Linked DNA regions of Lonchura striata. The protein of the gene in region 2 purifies or fractionates together with the protein of the main gene of each other region. This does not show direct contact. Links are inferred from orthologs where the notes say so. Each region holds a gene or a part of one and is shown on either strand. Other genes may lie near its edges.

What was found.
Region 1: the proteins of RASSF1 (region 2) and MAP1S purify together in Homo sapiens (affinity purification with mass spectrometry; 4 studies listed by BioGRID and IntAct, counting the BioPlex papers as one, with this or other methods). This does not show direct contact. The link is inferred for Lonchura striata from reciprocal best matches to the Homo sapiens genes RASSF1 and MAP1S.
Region 3: the proteins of RASSF1 (region 2) and SAV1 purify together in Homo sapiens (affinity purification with western blotting; 3 studies listed by BioGRID, with this or other methods). This does not show direct contact. The link is inferred for Lonchura striata from reciprocal best matches to the Homo sapiens genes RASSF1 and SAV1.
Region 4: the proteins of RASSF1 (region 2) and MAP1B purify together in Homo sapiens (affinity purification with mass spectrometry; 3 studies listed by BioGRID and IntAct, counting the BioPlex papers as one, with this or other methods). This does not show direct contact. The link is inferred for Lonchura striata from reciprocal best matches to the Homo sapiens genes RASSF1 and MAP1B.

What each region holds. Positions count from the first base shown.
Region 1 is NC_134630.1:7,898,811-7,906,156, forward strand, and holds the start of MAP1S (microtubule-associated protein 1S), read right to left. Parts: upstream 3,023-7,346; coding exon 2,884-3,022; intron 1,816-2,883; coding exon 1,714-1,815; intron 1,133-1,713; coding exon 1,050-1,132; intron 950-1,049; coding exon 809-949; intron 306-808; coding exon 1-305. UniProt on the Homo sapiens protein: Microtubule-associated protein that mediates aggregation of mitochondria resulting in cell death and genomic destruction (MAGD). Plays a role in anchoring the microtubule organizing center to the centrosomes. Binds to DNA. Plays a role in apoptosis.
Region 2 is NC_134614.1:8,485,085-8,492,176, forward strand, and holds the start of RASSF1 (ras association domain-containing protein 1), read left to right. Parts: upstream 1-4,069; coding exon 4,070-4,319; intron 4,320-5,267; coding exon 5,268-5,389; intron 5,390-7,092. Other genes in the region: ZMYND10 (zinc finger MYND domain-containing protein 10), read left to right, coding at 1,637-1,758, 1,953-2,078, 2,716-2,800. UniProt on the Homo sapiens protein: Potential tumor suppressor. Required for death receptor-dependent apoptosis. Mediates activation of STK3/MST2 and STK4/MST1 during Fas-induced apoptosis by preventing their dephosphorylation.
Region 3 is NC_134608.1:2,199,279-2,206,201, forward strand, and holds the start of SAV1 (protein salvador homolog 1), read right to left. Parts: upstream 3,003-6,923; 5' UTR 2,900-3,002; coding exon 2,806-2,899; intron 1,427-2,805; coding exon 995-1,426; intron 1-994. UniProt on the Homo sapiens protein: Regulator of STK3/MST2 and STK4/MST1 in the Hippo signaling pathway which plays a pivotal role in organ size control and tumor suppression by restricting proliferation and promoting apoptosis.
Region 4 is NC_134642.1:15,334,161-15,340,984, forward strand, and holds the start of MAP1B (microtubule-associated protein 1B), read right to left. Parts: upstream 3,007-6,824; 5' UTR 2,992-3,006; coding exon 2,814-2,991; intron 1-2,813. UniProt on the Homo sapiens protein: Facilitates tyrosination of alpha-tubulin in neuronal microtubules. Phosphorylated MAP1B is required for proper microtubule dynamics and plays a role in the cytoskeletal changes that accompany neuronal differentiation and neurite extension.

The DNA.
Region 1 (7,346 bases), on a different chromosome or scaffold from region 2:
GAGTCCCCTCTCCCGCCTGGGAAGATGTAGCAGCAGGGTTTGGAAAGCTTCAGGAATCCCACCATGGTGGGGGGCTCCAGTAGGTCAAAGGGGGACTGGGGCTCCAGAGACTCCGACAGGTACTCCATGAACTCCTCCAGCCCCTCCATCTGCGGCAGCACGCAGCCGGGGTTGTAGCGCAGCTCGATGAAGTCCTGCAGGTTGTGGTGCTCCAAGCCCGAGTCCCTCCACTCCCCAAAATCAGGGCAGCTGATAGTCAGCCTGGCCTTGGCCGAGGGGTCTGCAGAGCTCAGGATCTCGCCCACCTGCACAGAGCGGCAGCTTCAGGTAGGAGGGGGCACCGAGGTCACCCCCACCCCCCACCAGGATGGACCCGTGGGGGTGGGAGGTGTCCAGGGACACATTAAACCATTGGATCCAAGCCTGCTGCCTGCTTTCTGGAGGGATTTTGGGGTGCCAGCACCCTCTGCTGCTGGGCAGGGTCCTGGGGGGTGGGTGGCTCCCAAGGTGGGGCTTTCCCTGATCCCTCACCCTGGCTGCAGCTGTGGATCCAGCTGAGGATCTGCCCCCCTAAATCCCCATGATCCGCACCCCAAAACTCCCAGGAGCTGCACCCCTTAATCCCCAGGATCTGCACCCCAAATCTCCCAGGATCTGCACCCCTAAATCCCCTGGATCTGCACTCCAAAACTCCCTGGATCTGCACTCCAAAACTCCCTGGATCTGCACCCCTAAATCCCCACGATCTGCCCCACAAGACTCCCAACATCTCCTCCCTAAATCCCCAGGATCATCCCCCTCCCCGCACCTCCTTGTCCGTGAAGATCTGGATGAAATCCCGCAGGGAGAAGCAGCCGGTCTGCAGCATCATCTCCCCGGTGTCCTCCACACAGGGCCCCGCAAACACCAGCAGCTTGTGCTGCGACACGTCCGTGATGAGGTTCCGCAGCTGGGGACACCAGGACAGACAGAGGGGACACCGTGTCAGGACAGAGGGGACACCGCGGGGACAGCACCGAACCCGTCCCGCAGCAGCGGCCCCAGCTCACCTCATCGCACAGCGATTTGTCAGAAGGGTTGAGCAGCACCAGGGTCTCCAGCACGTCACCGCGGTGGTGGAGGGTCCGCTGACCTGCGGGGATGGAGTGGTGACAGCCATGCCCCCCCGGTTTGTCCCCGTGGGGGTGGCATGGCCGGGTGCTGCCCGGTTTTCTGGAGGAAGAGGGACAGGCACGGTCCCGCTGCCAGACACCGTGGGGGCCGGGGGACACATTTCCCGTGTCCTTCCTGCCCGGAAGGGGAGGGAACAGCAGCGGGGACAGGTGGGGGAGACTCCCCCAAAATGCTCTGGGTGCTCCAGGGGCAGGTTTGGGGTTGATTTCCCGCTGTAAGCAGGGAAACACCCAGCGGGGACCCAGCCGGGGGTGGGATGTGGGGGGAAAAGACACTGGGGCAGCCTCAGCTCCATTTTCCCATTTCCATCGCTCCATGGAAAATCCCATCCTGCCCCAGGGTGGGAGAAGGATGTGGCTCCTCACGTGGGGGATCACGGGGTTTGGATGGGAGGGACACAAAGTCGGGCCTGTTCCCACAAAACCCGGGAGAAGGGAATGGGAAGGGGGCACCCCTGATTCCAACACCCCCTTTCCCACCCTTCCCTGGCATCCAGGAGACATTCTCCCCATTCTTCCTGGTTTTTATCCCATATTTTACCTTTGACAATGCTGGAGAAGGTGGCCGAGTGCCGGGACACAAAGAGCTTCAGCTGCTCGTCCAGGTTACAGCAGGTGAGGTCGATGTCCCACGAGCGGATCCCTGTGGGGGAAAAACGCTAACTAAAAATTTGGGACTGGGGGCTCAGAATCCGCCAGCGCCATCCCCAAAACCCACACAGTGCCAGCTAGGGCTGACCCCATAAAATCCTCCCTAAAGCCCCCCCAAAAATCCCACCCTAAGGTGTTTTTGGGGTGCCTCCAAGCCCACCTGTGCCGACACCTGCCCAGCAGGTGAGCTCCTTGTGCCGTGACTCACGGCAGCTCCGGCTCTGCCAAATCCCAAATCCTGACCCCCCGGGGCACGAGCAGCTCTGCCAACACCTCCAAAGGTGCCAATTAGGGAATTAAAAGATTTGGCGCTACCTGCCAGCACCAGGGACAGGTGCAGCACCTGAACAGCCCTTCGGGACTTCCCAGAAGGGATTTTGGGAGCCTATTCCCCAAAATTTGGGTGGCCCAGGGTGCTCTGGGTAATGGGTGGAGAATGGGTGGGGGATGGTGTAACCGGCCCGGGGTTGCACAAGGGTTTGTGGCCGTTTTGGGGTGGTTTTGATGAGGTTTGGGGCAGGCTCACAGTGAGGGGACAAAGGAGCAGGGCTGGGAATGTCCCTCCCATCCTGGCTTTGGGATCTGCCCCGCTGGGATGTTCCGGGGTCTGAGACCCCCCCCCAAATCCGGGACTGCTCAGAGGGGGGTGTGGGGGCTGGACTGGGGGGGGTCCCTGCAATACTGGGGTAAATCCTGGGCATTTAGGGGCGGATCCTTGGGGGGCGGACAAATTCAGGAGGAGCAAATTCTGGGGGTCTTGAGAGGAAGGAAGAGCTTGAGGTTTCAGACCCCCGAGGATTTTGGGGCAGCAAAAAGAGGCAGATCTGCGATTTTACAAGGGCGAACGCGAGGGCGCAGATCCGGCCGGGGGTGGGGGGCAGGAAATGGGGCAAATCCTGGGAATTTCAGGGCGCAAACCCTGAGAAGCCAAAGGAGCGAATCCCGGGGGGTTGGGGAGGAACGGGGCAGCCCGATCACGCCGCGGTGCCTCGGGGGCATCCCCTCGGGGGGCTCCTCCGGTGGAGGCGGGCGGGTCCCCCGGAGCATCATGCGGTCTCACCTCGCTCCAGCTGCTGCAGGGCGGCGGCCCGGAGGCCGGGGCGGTGGCAGCCGCCGCCCACGATGGCGAGCAGCGAGAAGCGGCGCGGCCCCGCGGCCGGAGCCGCCGCAGCCGCCGGTGCCGCCGGAGCCGCCGCCATCTTCGGCGCCCCCCACCCGCCCGCCGGCCACGCCCCCTGCGTCACCGCGGCCATGCCACACCCATGATGTCACTGCCAGCCAATAGGAGGCGCCGCAGGGGAGGCGGGAGGGCGGGCGGAGGGAGGAGAGAGGGTTCTTAAAACGGCAACGCGCGGGTGGGGCAGAGTGTGGGGCCCGCCTGGGCCGCGCGAGTTGGGGGGCTATGGATGGGGATGCGGGATCGGGGATGGGGATGCGGGATCATGGGTGGGGATGAGGGATTCTGGATGGAGATACGAGATTCTGGATGCTGGATCATGGGTGGGGATCCAGGATTCTGGATGCGGGATCATGGATGGGAATGCGGGATCCATGGATGGGGATCCGAGATTCTGGATGGGGATGCGGGATTCTAGATCGAGATTTGGAATTCTGGATGCGGGATTCTAGATCGAGATTTGGAATTCTGGATGCGGGATGCGTCCGGACCGGGCTGTACGAGCCCCCCCGCATCCCGCTGCCCGCGGATTCTCCATCCATCCGCCCCGGTGCCGTGACCACGGGAGGATCCAGGACTCAGCTCCGTGCCCGTCCCCGCAGCGCTCCCATTCCTGCTTCCCCTCTCCCACAACGGGATGAGATTCCCACTCCTATCCCTCATTCCTGCCCCAACCTCAGATTCCCGACAGGAAGGGGGGCAGGATGGGGACCCCACCCCTCCCTCAGGACCCTGCCCAGCGGCAGAGGGGGCTGGGAACCTCAAAATTCCCCCAAAAAGCAGGCGGCAGGCGTGGATCCAATGGTTTAATGTGTCCGCGGACATCGCCAGCCGGCGGGCCGGGGCAGCGGCGGTGCTGTGCGGGTCCATCCCGGCGCGGGGACGGGGCTGGGGCCGCAGGCGGGTGTCCCCCGCTGTCCCCCGCTGTCCCCCGCTGTCCCCGCTCCCTCAGGAGCACTTGAGGATGAAGAGGATGCAGGAGGTGCCGCGGGGGCAGCTGCAGAGCTTCCCGGTGCGTGCCCCGCGCCGCACCGCGCACTGCGGGGCGGCACCGCCAGCCCCGGCGCGGACCCCCACCAAAGGGGGTTTGGGGTCTCCCCCGGACCCCCAGGGCGAGCTCCCGCCACCCCCAGCCCCGCCGTACCCAGGGCACCCAGCTCCGGCGCCGGCGGTCCCGCCTGCCCAGCTCGTCCAGCACCTCCCGGAGCGCCTCCACCTGCACCGGAGCGCCCCCGATTCCCGGGACACCCAGGGGCTCTGCATCCGCCACCCCCGATTCCCGGGACACCCAGGGGCTCTGCATCCGCCACCCCCGATTCCCGGGACACCCCGCATCCGTCACCCGCTATTCCCGGGACACCCAGGGGCTCTGCATCCGTCACCCGCTATTCCCGGGACACCCCGCATCTGCCACCCCCGATTCCCGGGACACCCAGGGGCTCTGGATCCGTCACCCCCGATTCCCGGGACACCCAGGGGCTCTGGATCCGCCACCCGTGATTCCCGGGACACCCCGCATCCGCCACCCGCGATTCCCGGGACACCCAGAGGCTCTGGATCCGCCACCCCCGATTCCCGGGACACCCAGGGGCTCTGGATCCGCCACCCCCGATTCCCGGGACACCCAGGGGCTCTGGATCTGCACCCAGGCACACTCAGGAGAGGATAAGTAGGTGACTTGCTGAGATTCAGCCCACATAACACGAAACACAACCGTTGATTTTCCCGTTCTTTATTTTAGGAGACTAAGAGGCTAACAGGCTATCTCCTCTGAGCCAGACTCATTTCAGGTCCAACGTGGATTCACATCACCAGTCATCCAAAAGATAAGTCAGGGCCAGGGCCTGGAGATGGGAGCAGTGTCTTCCTTCTGCACCGATGGGGATTTTCATCCCCTGATATGTGCAAGATAAGTGCAGGGTTACAACCCACAGAGGGGATGGAAGAGAGGTGCTGGGTTGGGACTCCCCAGGAGGGGTTTTTGAGTCAGTTTTGGAGATGGGGATGTGCAAGGAGTGTCCCCTTAGGCCACCTAAAGGGAAAGTGTCTGTTTTGACCACAGTGCTGAGGTGCTCAGGGCAGAGCAGTTCTGGTGTGTGTCCTGTCACTTGTCTCTGGTGCACTCTGTGTTCTTTGGGTCTCTCGGTCCTTTCTTCTCCTCAAAAGCTCTCTCTCCCTGTCCTGTGTCACGGGTGTCTGCACGTATTTGTCCCACAGCTGCTCTGCCCTGCTGCATAGCCTGTAATAGCACAAGTCCTGGGGACTTGAAATTTGTTATGCAGGGTGTAGTTGGGCTCTGGATTATATGGGGAGATTGACATAACATGTTTGGTGATGCTAAGTTGTCCTGCAGCCGTTTGACACTAGTCCTGACTTCCTTTCAGATGCAGACAGTTCAAATCTGTGGCCAAGGGCCCCAGTCCTGGGTGAGGGTGTTGCCATGAGCAGGTCAGTCATTGTTTGCATTTGCAGGAGCAGCCTCAATGGTGACTGTGTCACAGCAGTGTTCTTTGCCTTTATTTTTAGGAGGTCCAGGCAGACAGCAGCAGTCAAGGCCCAGTGTGCCAGGTGAGCAGCGGACAGAAGCAGTTGGTTTTGCTCAGGTTTCAGTTTCTGGTGCAATTGTAAGCTTTTGTGCTCTAGGGATTCGACTCGGGGTACTCACACCTCCGTCACCGATGGACCGGTGCCGGGAGCGCAGCTTCGCATTTTCCAGCCTTCCTTGCTGAGGTGGTTTTGAGATGGTTTTGAGGAATTTATGCGATTGTTTTCTTTTGTTCGTAGCTGGTGCATGAGAAGGGCCGTGGGGACTTCTTGGTTGTTACGGTTTTTGCTTCAGGTGCTCATGACAAGGGTTTTTTTGGGTTGAGTGTTGTTGGATTTCTTTTTGATCGGTTTACCATGGCTTTTATGGGTCAGAGCAGGGAGTAGAGGGTAGGTTTTGAATTCGGTTGTGGAGGCGTTTATTAGCGCGAGTGCCTTGTGTTTGTTTTGGTTGGTTTGAGGTATTGTCCTGTAGTTAATTAATGAGGTTTTTTAAATATTGATAATTGCATTCTTGTTTATTATGTTATAGGGGTTTTATTCATTTGTCTTATTTAATTGCCGAGAATGTTTTATTGTCCCAGAGAATTTGGGAGATATTGTTTGTGATTACATTTCTCTTTGTTTATTTCTAGGTGGTATTTGTGTTTTGATGGTTTGAGGCATTATGGGTTTATTGAGTTAGGAATAATTATTTTGTTGTTGTTAATATGATTTTTGTAGTTGGATGTATTTGTTGTTTTTTATTAGTTTTATTTTTATAAAATAAATTTTTTGGGAACATGGGCATTTCTATGGTAGATCTTTATAGGTAGTGATTTTATTTGGGTGGTGAGTTTTTCCTTTCTTTGTGGTTTTGATTTTTTTATATTGGTAATTATTTGGTGGGGTTTTTTAGTTAATTTTATAGAGCATTGGGTTCTCTTTATGAGTCAGTGTAGTGGTAGAATTTTGTTTTTTTTAAGAAACTTTCAGGGTCTCTTGTATGGTTTGGAGTATAGTAAGTTAGTTGGTGCTTGTTTTTTTAGTATTTTTTGTGATTTGCTGTGTGGGTTTCTATAGGGTTTTTTTAAATGTTTCGTTTTTGTGACGTGATAAGAGCTGCCAGTGAAAGGAGTGTAGTGCGGTTTTTTTTGCTGGTAGTTGGTTGGCTGGTGGAGCCTTTCGGAATTTTTTGGACGGTATTGGTGGGAATTTGATGCTGCCTGTTTTGGCATTTTATTTTTAGGAATTAGATTATAACTGCAGTGTTTTAACTATAACTCTAATGAAACAAAACAAATGCATAAATATGAAAATGGGAACAAAAAACTTCAATTTGAAATTTAAGTGGAATACATATAAGTAACACATGTAACATAAATAATATTATCCATTAATATTAGATTTTATATTGTTTGATATAGAGTGTTTTATATGTTATATAAACACATATAAATATAGACCATAAATATAAACAAAATATCCATATAGAGATGTATAAATATGTGGATATATAAATATAAATAGAAAAAATACAAAATAATAGGAATCAATATAGTACATAATGAATATTTTACTAAATATGTCTCATTATAACACATTGTCATAAATTTTATATATCGAAATATAGTACTTCAATATATTGTGATAGAATATATAAGTACTTGTAAAAATCAAAAATAGAAATAAAAAAATATTTAAATATGGTTTAAAATAAAGGGGATTTTATTTTCTATTTGGTAGTAGGTAGGGGTTTTATGATAAGAATTATGAATAAAAATAAAATTAGAAATCTTTGTATAGAAATATATCCTAAATAC
Region 2 (7,092 bases):
AAAAACAGCCAAGTACCCATTTCAGTTACACCCTTTTTGCCAGCAAAGCTGCCTGTGGCTGACGTGAGAGCCTTGTCCTGCCCTGCAGTGGCCAAGCATAAAAGCATAAATGCTGGGTTATAAACAGCTCTCCAGGTCACACTGAGCCCCTGGGATGGCAGCTGCATGGGGCAGACATAGGCACTGGCTTGTTTTGACAATTAACTCTTCATTTGACATCTATCAGTGTTTTCATGTTGAATTCTGGACTCCCCAGGGAAGTACCCTTTTACAGCCCTGGTCTGAGGCTGCTTGGCACACTGTGTACAGAGGGGCATCATGGTCTGGTGATAGAGCCTGGAGTTAAACTGGTCCCAGCTGGTGTCTGGGCCTTTGGGAGTTAGGCCATGAAAGTCTTTAAACAGCAAAGAGGTTCTTGGGGGCTTTAATCCATGCAGTGGTAATCTCTGGAGAAAAGTGTTTTTATGTGTTTCTACTGCCTTCTTGTGAGCTGAGGGGAGAAACTGAGTATGGGGGCAGATCTGCAAAGAGGCTGCTGAGAAAAGCTGGGAGCAGAGGGGCTCTTCCCCACTGCCAGAGGCTCCCACACTGCTTCCTGGAGGAGATGGGTCTGTTGGGCAGTGGCCGTCTGGGCTGTCCCCAGTGGCAGCACGCTGTCCCCAATGGGAGCACGCTGTCCCCATCGCAGCTGGCGGCATGGCCTGGGAGGAGGGTGATGTGCCCTGTCAGAGGTGCCTGTGGCTGAGCTGGAGACACGGCCCAGGCTGGGAGCTGGAGCTGGGGAAGCTGCATAATGGCAAGCTGAGCTGTTGGGGCTGGGGCTGGCATCAGAGCAAGGTGGACATGGATTCACACCCCATGCTTGACTGCCAGCGTGTTGGTGGCACAGTGACAAGCAGCTGCATGCTGGGGACCTCCTGTAGCCCTCAGTCAGGCTGCTGCCCTTCTCCATAGCTCTGCTTTTGTGCCTGCCCCTGCCAAGGGCTAGGGCTGAGCCTGGGGGCAGGCACAGGGAGGCAGCGGGAAGCACAGATATGGGCTCCCTGCTCTGCCCAGAGAGTGCTGAACTCACTCCTTGTTGCTGAGCCAAGCTAAGGAACGGACTTTTTCCATTTGGCTGCTTCCAGAGCAGCCTCCTCCCCTTCCTTGGCTATTTTTACTCTGCTGGAGAAGGCAGCGCTGTTTGAAGCTGCACGGTCCCCTCCAGAGCCGAACTCAGCACGCTGCTCTTGGCTGGGATGTTTCCTTCTGGCCGGCCAGCCCTTCCCCGGGTGTTCATCTTCAGGGAAATGACGAGCGGAAAAATCTGCTCAGACAAACGGCTCTGGAGCATGGGGTTCACTCTGCTGCCACACGCAGGGTGCTGAGGTCTCAGGGCTTTCTTCTCAGCAGCACAGGCCTCAAGGCTGAACACTTACTCCCAGCTGGACCCCAAAGAGGTCCTTGTTTCATCTCAATGCCCACTGGAGGGTGGATCCATCCCCTCCATGTACCCAAAAGCATACCCTGACCACCTCTGCCTGCCCTCCTGGAGGACCATGCGTCTTGTGCATAGGGCTGGCTGCCTTCTCCCCAGATTACAGCATCCTTTTCAGGCTGTTAGCACCTCTTCTTCTTGCACTGCATCTCCCACCAGGTTCCTGTCATCTGGGACCATATCCTCAAGAAAAACTCAGGGAAGTGGGAGGCCATTGCCAAGCACCAGGTGAAGCACGCTTTCAGCCCCACTGAGGAGGAGCTGAAGCTGCAGGCAGGCAGGTGAGGCTGGAGCAGGTTTGCAGAGTGCCCAGTGGAACCAGTATCCCCATGAGCAGAGCTGGAGCTCGTCACTGGGAGGACAGAGGGGTCCTGTGGCACTGGCTGGAGATGTCCCCTCAGTGGCAGGGTGCAACAGGGATAGCTCACTGTCGGCCATTCCCTGTAAGCAGCCTCATCCCTCTCTGCCTGCACAGGTGGGCACAGACCTACAGCCTGGACATGATGGAGGCTCTGGCCCCTGACAAGCCCCGTTGCAGGGTGTGTGGTGTAGAAGCAACCAAGCGCTGCTCTCGCTGCCGGAACGAGTGGTACTGCACACGGTAAGGGAGCCCTGCCACCCCCTTGGGACCCCTGCAGCCCCCCTGGGCCTCCCTGCAGCTCCTCAGTACTCCCCAGAGCACCACAGGGTCTCACTGGAGAATTCTGTGGGAGGGCCAAGCAAAGCCAGGGGTCCCACCACTGCTCAGCACCACCAGCTCTCTGCTGGCCATGTACCTCTGTGAATTTTGTGGGGAGGCTGATGTGCTGGGCTGCTGGTGGAGGAGGTGTTGGTGAAGGTTATGTTGCTGAGGTGCTGAGCTGCCTCTGCCCACAGCAACAGCAGTGACAGGCTGGGTTTTCCATGGTGACACTGTCTTCCTCCTCCCACCTTGGTGGGGCACAAGTAGGAAAGCACCCATGACCCCATGGGTGCAGGTGACAAGCTGGGATGTGGCAGCTGGGACGGTGGCAGTAAATTAAATCTCTGGTCCTGGACCATCTGGCAAGGTCTGTCGTTAAACCTTCTTAACCCCCAGCACTGGGGCTGCATCCACCCCCTCTTAGTCTAATGCTGGGCTGTATCAGCTCTCTCCCAGCTCACAGAGGGTGCGGTCATGGAGTTTGTCCTTCTTGCTGCTTTGCCAACAGAGATGGATATGACTCCAGTGCCCCTGACAGCAGCTTCCCCCTCTGCAGGGCATGCCAGGTGCAGCACTGGCAGAAGCACAAGCCTGCCTGCAACCTGATGGCTGAGGTGCCAAGGAGTGTGGATGGTCTGTAAGAAAAGTGGTGTCTGGCAACTGGCCCATGGCTCACAGAGTCGGAGGTTCCCCTGGTGTGTAGCCCAGAGCGGGAAAGAAGCTGGCAAGGGCCCCTTCTGCCTGCTCCCAGCTGCAGGCAGCACAAGCCTGGGCTATCCTCTCCTCTCCCACCACCTCACCATTCTGCCTTCTCCAATAAACCTCCTTGTGCATCCCACAGTTGCTTGGCTTCTGTGTTTTCTCTCCTAGCTGAACGTAACAAACTGCTTCGTCCCCTCCTTTCCACAAAGTGGGAGGCGTGTGTCCATTTTCTCTGCAACAACAGAAATCCCTGAGAACCCGAAAAAAATTGTGAGGGTATGGTTACCTTACTGCATCTGGGAGGGAAGGGAGTGAGAAGGCTTCTGTGCCGTCTCACCATTGTTAGAGCAGCGTGGGGAGCAGAGGATGTGGTTTGCACGAGCATCTTGCTGTGAGAAAGAGTTTCTTGGGTATTTGTCATCTCCCACCTTGCAGGGACAATTCACCCCATTTCCTCGCTCTTGATGTGATGTTAGCACCAAGGGCTTGGTCCTCTGCCCACCAGCATTACCAGTAAACAGGTTCTACTGGTGGGGATACCCTGGGGTGCATCTCACTGGTCAGCAGCTGCTGCCAAAGGGCTGGAGCCTTGGTCTGAGCACAGCTGGGAAAGGTTGGCCATGTCCTTTTTCTGATGGGGCACTGGAGAATCCGACACATAAAAATAAGCTTTGCACCAAGGCTGCTGCTGCAGGAGCCACGGCAGCAGGCAGGAAACCATCTCGTCCAGCTGCAGCCGCGGCTGAGCAGCCCGCGCCCGGAGCTCAATAAACTCCTCACCCCAAACCCGTGCTGCACGTCCAGGGCTGCAGCCACCGGGAGCAGGAGCGCTCTCCGTAGCTCTCGGTCTGCTTCTCACCCGCCGCCAGGGGTGCTTCCAGCCCCTTCCTCACTGGGAAACTGAGGCAGGGAGCACAGTTTGTCCTCCTCCTGCGAGAAGAGGCAGAGAGAGCGGAGCGGCTGCAGCGGGCCCCCCTTCCTCCGCGGCGGCTCCGGGAACCTCATCCCCGCCTCCAGCCCGCCCCGCCGGGCTCGCCGGGACTGGAGTTGGCGATCGGGAGCCCGGGGCATTGAGCCCCATCTTTCCTGCCTCAGTTTCCCCGCAGTGCCCGATCGAGGCGGCCCCTCCCGATCCCCGCCCCGGCCCCGGCCCCGGCCCGGTGCCGGCCCCCGCCCCGCCGCCGAGCTGCGCCCGCGGCCGCCGGGCCATGGAGCTCATCGAGCTGCGGGAGCTGCAGCCGGAGCCGCGGCCGGGCCGGGGCCGCCTGGAACGGGCCAACGCGCTGCGCATCAGCCCGGCCCGCCGGCCCGGCCCCGGGGCGCACCCTGACCCGCGGCTGACGGCGGCACCGGGCGCCGGGCACCGCTTCGAGCCGCGGCGCCGCGGGCTGCACACCTGGTGCGATCTCTGCGGGGACTTCGTCTGGGGCGGCGGCAGGAAGAGCCTCCAGTGCCGCCGTGAGTACCGCGCCGCGCCCCGGGCCCCCGCACCCCCGCCGCCGGGCACGCCCGCACCCCCGCCAGGCTCCGGGCGTCCCGCCGCTCGGCTTCCTCAGCACCGGGCACCCCCAGCGAGCACCGGGCATCCCCACCACCGGGCACACTCACCACTGGGCGTTCCCACCGGGCATCCCACCAACCGGCCACCTCTACAGGACACCGAGCATCCTGGTAGTAGGCAGCCCCGCTGAGCACCGGCTGTCCCACTGGTGGGCATGAGTTTCCCAGCACCGGACATGCTGCCACCGGACACTCCCACCACCAGCGGGTGGGGCATCGGGCACCCCCACGGGCCCCCACCCTCTGGTAGTGGGCCCCCTCACTGTGCACCGGCTGCCCCACCACTGGGCACAGGCATCCCGCACCAGGCACCAAACATCCCAGCACAGGGCACCTCAATAATAATTACCCCCACCAGGCATCCTGGTGCCAGGCATTTCCATTAAGTTGGGCATCACCATTCTGGGCAGCTGCAGCAGGCACTGGGCTTCTGGGCACCAGGAGTTGCCACCAAACACTGGACACCCCTGGATCGGGCACCCACACCAGGCACTGGCAGCCCCATACAGAATACCCTCACACGGCACCATGCATCCCTGTACTGGGTACCTGCACCAGGTACCAGGTATTCCAGCATGGGGTACCCACACTGGCCACTGGGAATCCCAGCACTAGACACCCACACTGGGCAGCCCAGTACCAGGCACTGAGCACACCATGCTGGCCAGCACAGCAGGGAACACAGCAGCCCTGGCCAAGACATGGCACAGTGCTATCTCCCTGAGCCCCTGGGCACAGCATGAGCAGACAGCTGATGCTGTCACCGTGTGCCAGCCCTTGTCCCAGCCAGTGCCCTGACCCCCAGGCTGTGCACAGTGGTGACCCTGCTTCTGTCTCTGTCCCCAGACTGCAGCTTCACCTGCCACTACCGGTGCCGGGCCCTGGTGCAGCTGGACTGCGGTGGCCCCCCAGGTGCTGGTGATGAGGACGATGGCAATGAGCAGGTGCTGGAGAAGGACACCAACGTGGTAAGGCCTGTGCCTGTCTGTGAGGGAGAGCTTGCGCAGGGAGTGGCAAACTGGGGGCTACGCTGGGCTCGGGGGGGCTGAGCTGGGCTGTGCCATGTGAGGCCATGGCATGGCATGCCAGGCTGTGCCATGCCAGGCTGTGCCAAGCCTTGCTGAGCTGGGCTTGGCTGGGCTTAGCTGAGCTGAGTGCAGCTAGCATGCCAGGCTGTGCCATGCCAGGCTGCACCATGCCAGGCTATGCTGTGCCACGTTGGGCTGTGCCAAGCCTTGATGGACTGCACTGCGCTGGTCTGGGCTGAGTAAGGTCGTGCCATGCCATGTTGTGCCATGTCGGGCTATGCTGTGCCAAGCCAGGCTGTGCTGTGTCCTGCCCGTGCCGCGCCGCCCGCACCACACCGTGCCCGAGCCGAGCCGAGCGCAGCCGGGACTCAGCCGTGTCCGGGCGGGCGCGGGTGAAGTCACCGCCGGAAGCGGGGCCGCCGCGCCGCCCCCGGCCCGCGTCACCCCGCGGCCGGGGCGGGGCGGGGGGGACCGCGCTGAGCCGGGAGCGGGCAGGGCGCGGTAGACGCCGCGCCGAACCGAGCCGGGACAGGAGCGCGATAGGGACCGGTCTGAGCCGAGCCGAGGACGGGACCGCGATAGACGCCGGGCGGAGCCGAGCGGGACGGTGATAGGGACCGGGCGAAGCTGAGCCGGGACTGAGAGTGCGACCGGGCGGAGCCGAGACGCCATAGGGACCGAGCGGAGCCGAGCCGGGCCAAGGGCCGGGCTGAGCGGAGCCGGGCCAAGGACCGGGAGCGGGCTGAGCCGAGCCGGGAGCGGAGCGAGCCGGGCCCCGGCCCGGGGGCCGGTCGGGCTGGCGCGAGGCCGGGCGTGCCCGTGTGCTCGCCGCCCCGGCGGGGCCGCGGGGCGGCCGGGCCGGGCCGTGCCCACCGCCACCGCCGCCGTGCCCGTGGCCGGGCCGGGGGCCGGCGGGCCCGGGGGCTGCGGGGCGGCGGCGTTGGCTCTGCGGCGGGGCGGCGCGGGGGGCACGGGGGGCAGCACGGCCAGCAGCGGCTACTGCAGCCAGGAGGACTCCGACTCCGAGCCCGAGCTCTTCTACACCGCCCGCACCTCCCTCGGCCGCCGCCCGCGCCGCCGCCAGGTCGGTCCCGGGCCGTGACGTAATGGGGGACACGGGTGACGTCATCGGGAGCACATTCCCCCGGCTGGGTGCTGGGGAGCAGGCGAGGGTGGGCTTGGTGCGTGGGGAAACTAGAGGTGTCGGTGGTCTTTTCTTAGAGGTGAGCTTGGCCCTGCTGTGGGGCAGGAGTGGGGTCGAGCATGGCCGTGCCGGGGGACACGGTGGCCCTGTCCGGTTGGATGTGGGGCGAGTGGAGTTTCGCTGCCTGGCATGGGCATGCCAAGGTCCCCTCAGGGCTGGAGCTGCTGGAGTTTTGGGGGTGCCGGGACAAACTCCCCGAGCAGCTTCACAGCTGTCCCCATCCTGCAGGGTCCTGCAGTGCCTGCATGCTGTGGGGCGGCTGTCGGGACTGGGGACCCCTCAGTGCCGTGGGGACATGTGCAGCGCTGTGTGGCAGCTCCGCGGCCCCGCGTCAATACTCATTAGCGGGTGCCGGTGGCAGCGACGCCGAGCCAGGACGCTCGGTCCCCCGTGTGCGGGGCCAGCACTTTGAAGTGGGGTGCCGGCGGCCAGGGCGGGC
Region 3 (6,923 bases), on a different chromosome or scaffold from region 2:
ATTTCCATTTTTCATGGAAGTGTTTCTTTGATGAAGAAGGCACTGACAGGTTCTAATCCCACACATGAGGTCAGCAGCATTAAAAGCTGATGTTCTTCCTGGCAGATTTCTTTTTCTAGACAGGAGATTCATTTTATTAGCCACTAATTACTACTTTGTTCACAGATTACAAGTGACAATGTATTTCATATTGAAGGGATGTTATTTACAGGTTTGAAATGTTCCAAACTCCTTCTTGGGCATAGTTTTTATAATATCAGAGTCAAATATTTCAGAAAAGTAGTATGTAATGGATTTTTCTTTTTTATGTTGTTTTGTTTTAGGAAACAAAGGCAAGTTCCAGTGAAACTAAGAGGGGAACAGGCATATTTACAAACAATTTTAAAAGCTGAACGAAAGGAGTCAAGGATTAAGGAGTCAATGCCAACACTAATTAGATGCCAATTTACTAATTACAAAAAACAGTCATTCTTCCCTATGACTATTTGTAAGGAATTATTTCTATTATTGAAGTCAAATTCAAACAATGAAATGAAGTAATAAGACGATAGTTAAAATGTAATGCTAATAACAATAACAATTAATATTCATATTAACATTAATAATAATAATAATAATGTAATGTTGTAATTTAGAGTTGTTGGTTATTCTCTACATTATGAAAATAGGAGATGTCCCCCAACAAATAAAATTCCCTGCTAGCCAGCAAGTGATGTGTAGAGAAGATGTACATACGCCTGGCATTAAAAACCCCAAAACTTGCTTGGCCTTACTCCATTTATTTAAGAAAATAATCCTGGTTTAAGTCTATTTTTCTGTTCTGGATATCTGTGACCAAACCCTCAATTCCAATTACCCAAATCCCAGAAATGCCATGAAAAAGCAGCTCTGTCCCACACACCTCAGACACAATCCTGATCATCCAAACTCCCCAAACTGCACCCAAACTCTCACCAAAACCGGAATTTTAACAAAAGCAACAACGAATCCTTACCTGAAGTGTGCCTCCCATGATTCTGGGACATCCTCTGGAAAAGATCGCTGCTGTGCTCGTAATACCTGTAGTCCTCGTGCAGGCGTCTCCTCTGGGCATCGTAGAAATGATCGTAGTAATAGCCGCGGGCTCCGGCGTCGCCGTTCTCCAGCCCGGGGGCGGCTTCTGCCAGGAAGGACTGCGAGGAGGAGCCGTATTCCCTGGGCACCTCCGCCAAGCCCCTGGCCAGGTAGGAAGGTGCGGACAGTCTGTTGCTTTCTCGCCTCATTATCTCGTGGGGCGGCCTCTGCACCGCAGTTCGGAGGAAGCTCTGGTTGCGGGACACGATCCCATCGCCGCCGGGCGCGTAGGCAGAGGATGCGGAGTCGGGAGGGCAGATATCGGTTCGTCGTGGAATGGTCGGACCGTGGCGGATAAAGGAAGGCATCAGATCTGCCAGAGAGCACGGAGGAGAGGTGAGAACTCTGCCGGAGCAGCCGCGGTGATTTACACACTCAAACTGGGGGAATTCTCGTGCAGGAGCCGCTAACGCCTGTGCAAATGTGGTGGTAACGCTGCAGAGAATCCTGGCGCACACACCACACCAGGAACCCGCTGAGCATTCTGCCAGTAAAACTGCAGCTGCAGTAAACAAACCAACCCCAAACCCATCAAAAAAACCACACAAGAAAAGAACAAAACACCAAACCACCCACACTGTGCTGTGGCTGTATCAGTCAGGGTTCGTATCTCTCAGAAAAAATCCACATATCTTGGCTACTGCTTCTTTGGGAATGTTGTCCTTACAAACTGGGAATGACAAGATATTAATGCCCACAGGAATCCAAGATAGAATTCACGCTGCCCCCACTAATCCCAAAGTCACAAAGTTCAGCCAGAAAAACGATGTCATTCCATAAGCATTAAGTTCTCAAATTATCAGGGAGATAGTTCACTTTCTCCTTTAGAATTTCATTGCCTCCCTCCAGTATGTGAAACATTCCTCCTCTCCCTACTTTTACTTTCAACACGATATAAATACATAGATTCCTTCCAGATAAATCAATATAGATGATAATTTTCATTTAGAACGACGTTACTCCTATTGTCAATTACTTTTTATTCATAAACTCTTACAGCTTACGGTTAAAATCTGGTGCACCCCAGGTGTCAGCAGTCAATTTATTGAGCACACAGACCCATTTCAGCGTCGGGTTGTGTTTCAAGACCAACAAAACCAAACCTTGAGCACACTTTCGGTGTGCATTTGTGGTGTCCAGCCTCAGGAGCGCAGGGCTGCGGCATCAGAGCCAGGGGCAGCCCAGGTTGAGCCACGGGCAGGAGCTGCAGCATTTGTTTCCGCAGGGATTTTATTTTACGATATTTTACCTGTCTGGCGGGACAGTTATCTCATTGACAATGCCCAGGTGGGGCAGCGGGCTCATGGATGGACGGAACCCAGAACAACTCGGGCTGGCCGCCCGTGCCGCAGGCACCTTCCCCATCCCGCACACCCTGAGAGCTCTTGGCTTCATTTCACACAACTCTGAACCCCTGAGGCCTGCTGAAACAGCCACCGAGAAAATCACAAACCCCACCAAGAAAACGCTGGAACGAGCAGGGCTCCCTTTGAAGCTTCCTTTGAGCTTTAACTTCCTTTCAGCTTTCACCTCCCAGGGCTCGTAGCAGCACTAAGCACACATTTACAGGGAGCAATAACCCTTACACGCAGCCACAGGGGTAACTCCCCCTCACGCCCGGCCGCGCAGCTCCGGGGCCCGCCGCGCCGCACACGAAGGCCGGGATGGGCCCCCCGAGCCCCCGACACTCACTCCGCAGCAGCGGGCTCGTCTCCTTCTTCACGTACTTCCCCTGCACCTCGCCCGGCTTGGAGAGCTCCGTCCGCGTCTTCTTCCGCGACAGCATCCCACCTCCCGGCCCGCTGCCACCGCCCGCATGCCCGGCGCCGCTCCCCGCTCCGAAGCCGCCCCCGGGGGCCGAGCCGGGACCGGGAGCGGGGTTGGGATGGGGACGGGGACGGGGATCGGGACGGGGCCGGGGTCGCTGAGGGGACGCGGCGGGCGCGCGGGGCCTTGTGGGAAGGCGGCGGCCGCCGCCCTCCGGCACGGCCGCGGGGCAGCGCGGGAGCGGCCGCAGCGCCCCCGCGCGGCAGGGAGGCCGCGGCACAGGCGGAGCGGGGCAGCGCGGGAGCGGCCGCAGCGCCCCCGCGCGGCAGGGAGGGCGCGGCACAGGCGGAGCGGCGGGGACGGAGCGGGCGGGAGGAGAGAAATCCTGGGATGAGAAATCCTGGGATGACAGAAATCCTGGAATGACAGAAATCCTGGGATGAGAAATCCTGGGAGGAGAGACAGCCCGGAGTGAGAGAAATCCTGGGAGGAGACAGCCCGGAGTGAGAGAAATCCTGGGATGAGAAATCCTGGAATGACAGAAATCCTGGGAGGAGAGAAACACCGGAATGAGTGAAATCCTGGAATAATGACAGAAATCACAGAATAATGACAGAAATCCCAGAATAACAGAAATCCCGGGATGACAGAAATCCTGGAATGAGAGAAATCCGGGGATGACAGAAATCCCGGAGTGAGAGAAATCCTGGAGTGAGAGAAATCCCAGAATGACAGAAATCCTGGGATGACAGAAATCCCGGAGTGAGAGAAATCCTGGAATAATGACAGACATCCCGGAATGACAGAAATCCTGGGATGACAGAAATCCTGGAATGAGAGAAATCCCTGAATGAGTGAAATCCTGGAATAATGACAGAAATCCCAGAATAACAGAAATCTTGGAATGAGAGAAATCCTGAGATGACAGAAATCCCGGAATGAGTGAAATCCCGGAATAATGACAGAAATCCCAGAATAACAGAAATCCCGGGATGACAGAAATTCCGGGATGAGAGAAATCCTGGAATGAGAGAAATCCGGGAATAATGACAAAAATCCCGGAATGACAGAAATCCCGGAGTGACAGAAATCCTGGAATGACAGAAACCCCGGAATGAGAGAAATCCTGGAATGACAGAAATCCTGGGATGACAGAAATCCCGGAGTGAGAGAAATCCTGGGATGACAGAAATCCCGGAGTGACAGAAATCCTGGAATAATGACAGACATCCCGGGATGACAGAAATCCCGGAATGACAGAAATCCTGGGATGACAGAAACACCGGAATGAGTGAAATCCCGGAGTGAGAGAAATCCCGGAATGACAGAAATCCCGGAGTGAGAGAAATCCTGGGATGACAGAAATCCTGGAATGAGAGAAATCCCGGGATGACAGAAACACCGGAATGAGTGAAATCCTGGAATAATGACAGAAATCCCGGAGTAATAACAGAAATCCCAGAATAACAGAAATCCCGGGATGACAAAAATCCTGGAATGAGAGAAATCCTGGGATGACAGAAGTCCCGGAGTGAGAGAAATCCTGGAATGACGGAAATCCCAGAATGAGAGAAATCCTGGGATGACAGAAATCCCGGAATGAGTGAAATCCCGGAATAATGACAGAAATCCCAGAATAATGACAGAAATCCCAGAATAACAGAAATCCCAGGATGACAGAAATTCCGGGATGAGAGAAATCCTGGAATGAGAGAAATCCAGGAATAATGACAAAAATCCCGGAATGAGAGAAATCTCGGAGTGACAGAAATCCTGGAATGACAGAAATCCCAGAATGAGAGAAATCCTGGAATAATGACAGAAACCCCGGGATGACAGAGCGACAGAACCCCACAGTGATGGAATCATGGAATCTCCGAGGCTGGAAAAGCTCTCCGGGATCAACGAGTCCAAAGCCGTGCCCGGTGCCCACCTTGTCCCCAGAGCGCTCAGTGCCACATCCCGGCCTTCCTGGGCACCTCCAGGGATGGGCAGCCCCTTCTGCTACCTGACAACGCTTTCTGTGGAGAAATTTTCTCTGGTATCCCATTTAAACCTCCCCTAGAGCAACTTGAGGCCATTTCTCCTGTCCTTGTTCCCTGGAGCAGATCCCAAATCCCCCCCGGCTGTCCCCTCCTGGCAGGAGCTGTGAGAGCCACAAAGTCCCCTGAGCCTCCTTTGCTCCAGGCTCAGCCCCTTCCCAGCTCCTCAGGAACTCTCCATTCCCTTCCCAGCTCCCTCAGGAACTCTCCATTCCCTTCCCAGCTCCTCGGGAACTCTCCAGCCCCTTCCAGCTCCTCGGGAACTCTCCAGCCCCTTCCCAGCTCCCTCAGGAACTCTCCATTCCCTTCCCAGCTCCTCGGGAACTCTCCAGCCCCTTCCAGCTCCTCGGGAACTCTCCAGCCCCTTCCCAGCTCCTCAGGAACTCTCCATTCCCTTCCCAGCTCCCTCAGGAACTCTCCAGCCCCTTCCCAGCTCCCTCAGGAACTCTCCAGTCCCTTCCCAGCTCCTCAGGAACTCTCCATTCCCTTCCCAGCTCCTCAGGAACTCTCCATTCCCTTCCCAGCTCCTCAGGAACTCTCCATTCCCTTCCCAGCTCCTCAGGAACTCTCCATTCCCTTCCCAGCTCCCTCAGGAACTCTCCATTCCCTTCCCAGCTCCTCAGGAACTCTCCAGCCTCTTCCCAGCTCCTCAGGAACTCTCCATTCCCTTCCCTTCCCAGCTCCCTCAGGAACTCTCCATTCCCTTCCCGGCTCCCTCAGGAACTCTCCAGCCCCTTCCCGGCTCCTCAGGAACTCTCCATTCCCTTCCCAGCTCCTCAGGAACTCTCCAGCCCCTTCCCAGCTCCTCAGGAACTCTCCAGCCCCTTCCCAGCTCCTCAGGGATTCTCCAGCCCCTTCCCAGCTCCTCAGGAACTCTCCAGCCCCTTCCCAGCTCCCTCAGGAACTCTCCATTCCCTTCCCAGCTCCTCAGGAACTCTCCATTCCCTTCCCGGCTCCTCAGGAACTCTCCATTCCCTTCCCAGCTCTGTTCCCTTCCCTGGACATCCTCCAGCCCCTCGGTGTTTTTTGTCATGAGGAGCCCAGAACTAGGCACAGTTCTGTACCCCGTCCCCCTGCCTGACCAGGAGCAGGGACCCACGCTGGTCCCCTCCTGCTTTTCCCACCCCAGGACTGTGTGAAAATCTTGCAACGAGCCCCCAATACTTCCCATATAAAGGCGAAGAGTAGGGATGCAACTTCAGCTGAACAGAAGCCAAGGTGTGTTCACTACCTGTCAGCTTTTTACACTTCAATGTCATACTTTTGTAATGCAAAAACTACTTTTTCACAGCTGTCAAGCCATCCTTTTTATTATTGTGCATGCCTTTGATAAACTTGCAGATACTATTTGAAGTGTTTACAACATCCATGGGAAGAGAGGTGGTGGCTGTCCCTGGATCCCTGGAAGTGTCCAAGGTCAGCTTGGACAGGGCTTAGAACAACCTTGGGATAATGGAAGGTGTCCCTGCCATGGCAGGGGTGGGAATGGATGGGCTTTAGGTCCCTCCCAACCCAAATTATTCTATTATTTTCATGCTGGATAAAAACCAAAAAGACACAAGTATGCATTGTACATTAATGTATTTTTTATACTCATTATAAATAATGTGTCAGTTGCTTCCTCTCTCGGCTTTACATGATGTTCTAAGGACAATATATTACACCGGAACAAAACAAACTCAATAGAAAAAAAATAATATACATTTGTTTTCCTTTATACAGAAGTTGTTTGTCATAAAATGACACCAAACAGGAGATTGGACAGGTAAATGATGGAAAACCTGAGTGACAGGGATGGCATGTGCTGGAAGTAAACAAAAAGATTTTACTCTTGATCAATCCAGACTCTTCCCCCTGCTGTAACACATAACCTGGCTAAAACCAAATATGTTAAAATCCTGTTTCTTTCCTCAACCAGAATTCAAACAACTCAATTTTTCCTTGTATTTAAAGTACTACTTGGAGCATGTGCCACCATGTAGACTTTTAAATCATTCTAAA
Region 4 (6,824 bases), on a different chromosome or scaffold from region 2:
AGCTGAAATACACTGAATGAATGAGTGCTGAACTTCAAGAAGCTTGAAGAAAAACAATTCCCTGGCCTATGACACCAAGCTTGGGCAGAGAAACTACAATCCTTTCTAGAGGTCAGTTGACATGAACTATGATTTATCAACACTGCTAATGAAAGGACTCATCCACCATCCCTAGCTGCTTTAGATGCGATCCTAATTTGCTGTAGGGATAAGGTGCTGATTAGATGTAGTCAAGATTGCTCAATCATTGCCTGATTGAGCCAGGCAATGTCCAAAATACAGGACTCAACACAAAATAAATAGGGGGAAAAAAAATAGGGGATAAAAGCCTTTATGCCCTATGCACGCAGTAGTCCTAGAAGCTGAAGGTGGAATTTGGGTAGACTATCTAAAATATGCAACTGCATGATTCAGCAATCTGGATGCAAAAATTATGCATGCGTATTATAGCGGAGTAAAATGTATTAAATGAATGATACCACTAAATCAGGTTTTCGGTGGAACAAAGATAAACATGGAACTAAAATCCAAGGTCAATCCAATGATGGCTTAGAAATGTGGACATATCTGCTATAAACATGGCTGAACTGGAGCTATTTCCTTCTTTCTGCAGTCTTAGAAATGCAATGCCACTAGACACAGGACTAATAAGACAGCAGGGAGGGCACACCCAGTAGCATCTGCTAAATCAGTGGAAAAATCTTGAAGCTTCTTCTTCACTCCCCTCTTCTCTTTTGGTGGACTGTGGGTTGTTGGAGAATTGCCCCCTTAGCAAAGTCACATCCAAAATGTAATTACTGAAAATGCGTCTTGCCACACCATTCCCTCCCCATGATATATTAAGAAATGACTCTGCATTCCACCAGGTTGCGTAGCATCACACCACTGATGTGTTATCAGCAGATGTTTTCTTTGACACGTTGCTCTGCAGTTTGGCGCATGAATCCACAGTTTTCAGTGATGGTACTCAGGAGATGTACCAGAGAAGACAGTAAGGCAGAGTTATGGAGAACCAAAATGCATTTAAAGCTCTATTGAGAATAAAGGCAGCAAGAAGTATTTTTTTCCCCAGACTACAGCAGACTTTCCAAAGAGAAAATTATTAGCTGAGCCTGCAATTGCCTCACATAGACAAAGCGTCAGACTCCCACTTTTATTTATCCAGAAAAATGTACCTAAAAATTTCACCAAGGAGTTTTCTTAGGAGGCAAAAATCTCAATCAAATGGTCTAATACTAGAAGCATCAAGGTCACTTCTAATCCAAAATGATTAATTAAAAGGTCAAACACTCCCTCTGAACACCTAAACCTGTAAGTGGGTGTTATGCTTAGTGGCAGGAGATAGCAGTAATTGAGCTATGCAGCAGTGACTGTACAATAGGAGATTCAAGAAGGGACTGGAGAGCATTTCTTCAGAGGGAGGATATTAGTTGTCTTGAGGGAGTAAATTTTACCAATTTGCTTTATAATCTTTGACAATTTAATTAAAATGCAGCCTGTTCTTTTCTGACACAACTGAAAATTAGATAGAGTTAAGGAAGTGCGATGCTGAAGAAGCTCTGAATGACAAAGCACCTGCCTCAGTAGCTCTCCCCAAGAGACAATGGTAGCAATAAAGATAGAACAGTTTATGATGGAAATAGTTAGCTGAGATGAGGATGCCTTTTACCTCAAACTGTAATGAAAAGGAATCCAGAGAAATAAGCAACTAAAGCAACAATGGTTGAGAAAGCAACAATAGAGAGACACAGATGAAGTCCTAGCTGGACTGCTGAACCACACCTACATGACAAGGCTGCTACCAATTCCTCGTTCCGGGATCTCTTCTTCACTCTTAACAATGGCAGTTCCATAAATCTTTGTTTTCACCAGCCCAGAACAAAAAATACATATTATAAAATCAGCTATCAACTGAGTTTAAGTAACTGTAAGGTCCGGCAATAATTTTCTTCATGCTTTATTCCACTGATACCGTTTATTTTTTTTTTTTTTTTGTTTTTGTTTTTGTTTTTTTTTTCTCCTCTCTGCATATACACTGAAATCTATTGTATCAAAAACCACAACGAAAACTTATAAAACTGTCATTTCATTTGCAATACCACGCTGCATCGCCGTCTTAAGAAAAGGACAAATAAACGCCGAGTCAGAGGAGCCCGCAGTCGGACAATAACGAGGCTGAGCCCTCGGGTAACAGCCTTGTTACTCATAAAGGTTTTCTTTATTGGAATATATACGCGTATATAGAACTTAGGTCCTGAAAAATTGTCCAGACGACAGAAAAGTCCCAGCACCCAAAGTTAGACACAAAGGCGCGGCTGCGCTCCCGCCCGCGCAGCCTCTGCTGCCGAGAGGGAAAACGCCCCGAACCCGCGGGCTTAGCGCGGCGGTGGGGGACGGGGAACTGCGGGCGGCAGCCGCCTCGCAGCCCCAGCCCAGCCCATCCACCCCATCCCCAGCCGCCCTTTGTCCGCCCCGAGCAGCCACCGGGACCGCAGTGCGGACCGTGCCACGCCCACCCCGGTGTCTCCGGGCAGACGGGCTCGGCGGCGGGCGCTGCGCTGCCGCCGGCCCCTCCGCCCAGCGATGGCGGGGACGGGGCTCGCTGCGGCTTTCCGCAGCGCCCGCACCCCGCGGCGGAGCATGGGTGGGTGGGCGATTGCGGCGGGACCCCCGGGGAATAAAGAGCCGAAGACGGCGGCTAGGCGGGATGATGTCGGGGGCTATCCCGGCTCCCGGCCGCGCCCAGGGAGGGGCAGGGCGCCGGCGGGGGTGTCGCGGCGCTGCTTGCGGCACCCCGGCTCCCGCCGCCTCACCTCGCTCGATATTGGTGATGGCCCGCCGCAGGTGCTCCTCGGTCACCAGCTCGCCGATGACCACCAGCAGGTAGAACTTGCTGTCTAGGAAGCGGTGGGAGAGACTGGGCGAGGTGGAGGTCGGGTTGGGGATGCTGCAGGAGGGCTCCGAGTCCACTTCCACCACTACGGTGGCCATCGCCTCCGCCCCGCGGCTCCGGGGCGCTGAGCTCGGCGGCGGCTCCGCGGGCGGCAAGGAGGGAGTGAGGGCGGGTGGGGAGGCGGCGGCGCTTTTATACGGAGACGGTGCAGGGCAGGGACCTGGTGAGGAGGAGGAGGAGGAAGGGGGGGAGCCGGCGCATCCTCCGCGCCGCCGCCGCCTTTCCAGCATCCACGGCTGATGTCATCTGCGGCAAATCCTCCCCGCGGCGGCCCCCGGAAGCAGGAAGGACGCGGGGGGCGAACAACGCCCCGAGGGGACGCCAAGGACTGCGCCCCGCGCCTGGCTCCCGGCCCGGCCGTGCGACCCCCGAGCCCACTCCCCTCTTGTCCCTTGCTCCCCGTGCCCGTTCGGGCCGTCACCCCGAGGCCCGTCCCTTAAAACAGGGCGATGAGGAGCCGCAGGTGATGGCCTGGCAGACCTGCGGGGCTCATGTGGCAAAGCCAGCATCGCGCCTCCTGCAGCGGTCCAGAACCGGATGAAAAAGCAGTGCCACTGCCCAAAGCCAGTTGTCCTCTCCTACGTCTTGCTGTACTACTGCCGCAAAATTTGAGTCATACTGAAACACACCCTCACCCAGCAATCTAAATATTCTTGCTAACTTTTTAAATTTAAAAGCAGTTAATTTGATAAGATACTTCACACATAGTTCTTCTGCACATATTCAATGCCCACGGATATATGACACCAGAAAAACACTAGTTTTGGACAACATGCTGAAGCCCGTAGTCTTAGCTTATTCAAAACTGCAGAAATTCAAGAGCTTTAATAAGTAATGTTGACCAGGCTCAAGCATCTCCATGGGGCAATGATAGCAGAAAACTTATACAATGACAGAACCAAAGGCTTAATTTCTTTTCTCATAGATATTAGTATCTACATCCCAATACTCAGTGATAGCAACCTCTGAAAAGTATGTTACTTGCTCCTAATGATGGAGAAGTCAAATCTGTCTGGGATGTTCCTCTCACTTTACTGACATAGCCAAGCCACTCGTTTACACTTAAGCCTCTTGTTTATATGGTTCAAGTGATGTGGGATAAATTTCACTGTGACATAGGAAAGGATATAAACTTTTATAGCTTTTTTTTTAAGATAACCTCTTGTCCCTGACTGAGAAGACACCTCCTCTGTCTGCAGCTTCTTACAGTGCTGGATGTGCAGATTCTCTGCCTACTGCTTAGGAGCACAGTGCTTGCCTGGATGAACGAGTATATCAGCCTCATCTTCTCTGTATTTTGTTCCAGGGCACAGTGGACTAATTCACATGCATTTCAGGTTGTCACTACTAAGTTTTTTCTGTCTTACTAGCTTAGAGGCTACAGTTTCAACCCACAAAGGTTAGAACAGGATCATTATAAGTGCTGGTCCATAGTGTCTATAGCACCTAATGGTTTTGATATGAACACTTCCTCTGCATAAATACAGCACTCAGAGTCTTGGCTTACACAGTGTGGTGTGTTTGGATGTTGCATCCAAAGTAGACTTTTCCTGAGCTGCCGTTATTCTAAAGGTTGTGGAGTGCAGACAAGCATTTTCACAGCCATGTCAGGCGGCTGAGATGACACAGTGGTAAAGAGCAGCAGTGCTCATTCTTCACTGAAGCTGACACTGCTGATAGAACAAATGCAATAGTGTAGGTGCAGAAGAACTAGCAGCACTTTTAAGGTTTGCAAGGTATTCAAAGGTGCAGTGTGTTCCTCGTGGAATACCCCTGCTAATCTGGGCCCCACTGTGACTTTGCTGTTTCCTGTCATAGGATGGTGTAGATGCCTACTTAGAAATAATATCTATCCCCTATAGCCTTTTCCTATATGAACCCCTTCCTAATAATTTATTATAATTATAGTTACCTTCAAGACTTGCCATGTGGTACCCACTGGAGAATGCCAGCTTCAGGCTTCTGTCACTGCAGTCTGTAGTTTTGGGCATGCCTTTATGTCAATCACCAGCAAGAATAGCTAGTCTCTCAAGCATGGATGGAGCTCGCCAAGGGGTCTTGTCAACTGGTTGCAGAACAGACAGATGCTGGTTCCTGGACATAAAGGTAAAATAGTTACTTGCCTCACAAGTACAGCAGGTTAAATGTGATAGAGAAATGCACACCAGTACTCAAAAGACACTGTATACACTTTTAAGCACTTTCTTATTTTAAGTAAAAATGGAAACATCCATAGCTGGAAAGATGCCAGTGAGTTTGAAAAGCAAGAGCCAAAAAGAATGCATTTTACCAGAGAATAAAATGCTTACATACAGGTAGGTGATACAGTTACATATGAAATAGGCTGCTCAGGTAGTCCTCTATTTCACATTGCAGTGTAAAATAACATGCAGTTAGAAAGTGGTATGATAAAAGATGAACTGTTACAGTCAAACTGTCTTGTGATGGGTGATGCATCACCCATTAAAGCCCTAAGGGCAAAAGATTGTCTTTGGAAAGAAATGGTCTTGTGGTAAACTCTTCAAAGGATGCCGACCTCTGGCTTTGTCTATTCATAAGCTTATGCTGCCTCATCAGAGATGGAAGCTAGACAAGAAAGGTGCTTTATGCTCTGGAACATATCTCTGAGGAAGCTGCAGGGTCCCAGCTCCATAGCCACTTTTCCACACTGTGTCTTGCCCTGTCAGTATCTCAATCAGGTAGATTAGTTCGTCATCATCTGGAAACTAATTTATATTCTGCAACATGGAGCATCAGGTCCACTGCTGAGTGAAATGTGGAGATATGCTGCACAAAGCTGACTTAGTGTCCTGTGACACTAATCACTGTCTGAGAGTGATACCACCTGCCTATCTGCAGCTAAATTACATAGATATGCCCCTTCAGTAGAAGAAACTGCACCATTCATGGACTGTGGGATATATCTTACTGTTTCAAAGAGACAGTGATTGAGATCTGCACCTGTCTGGCTTTTGATCTTCTTGGTTTGATTTTGTTGTTTTATTATGTTCAATACCAAATTGGAGTCCCACAGCTGAATGTGGTCAAATAGTATTTGCAAAGCTGTATTTTTTCAATGCTGTATTTTTAAAAGACACAGTTTAAATAAAGTGCTTGAAGTTTAAAACATGCTTCTTGGTAGTATGTGCCATTTGTTACCCACTAATATTCAAGTTTCATTCAGGTCCAAATTTCAAATTTTAGATGATGTTTCAGTGATGTACAAACCTTTAGACTGGCCCTTTGTCTCAGGTCAAGTGTCATCCCTACCATAAAAGAAATACGTATCCATATGGATTGCTTCAGATCACTTGACATACTGAGTGGGGAACAAGAGGTTGGTGAGCAGCACCGTGGAGGTGGACCTGGGGTTGCATTTGAGTCAGGCAGCCAGGAGGGCCAGCCGTGTCCTGGGGGCATCAGGCACAGCATGGCCAGATGGACAAGGGAGGGGATTGTCCTGCTCTGCCCTGCCCTGGGGCGGCCTCACCTCAAGTGCTGGGGGCAGTTCTGGGTGCCACAGTAAAAGTGAGATACAAAACTATTGGAGAGCATCCAAAGGAGGGCCATGAGGATGATGAAGATCCTTGAGGGGAGCTGCTTATAGGGAGCAGCTGAAGTCACTTGGTCTGTTCAGCCTGGAGAAGACTGGGGAGATCTCAGTGCAGTTACAGCTTCCTCATGATGGGGGACAGACACTGATCTCTGTGGTGACCAGTGACAAGACCCAAGGGAATTGCATGAAGTTGTGTTAGGGAAGGTTTAGGCTGGGTATTCAAAAAAGTTTCTTCACCCAGAGGGTGGCTGGGTACTGGAACAGGCTCCCCAGGGAAATGGTCACAGCACCAGCCTGACAGAGTTCAAGAAGTGT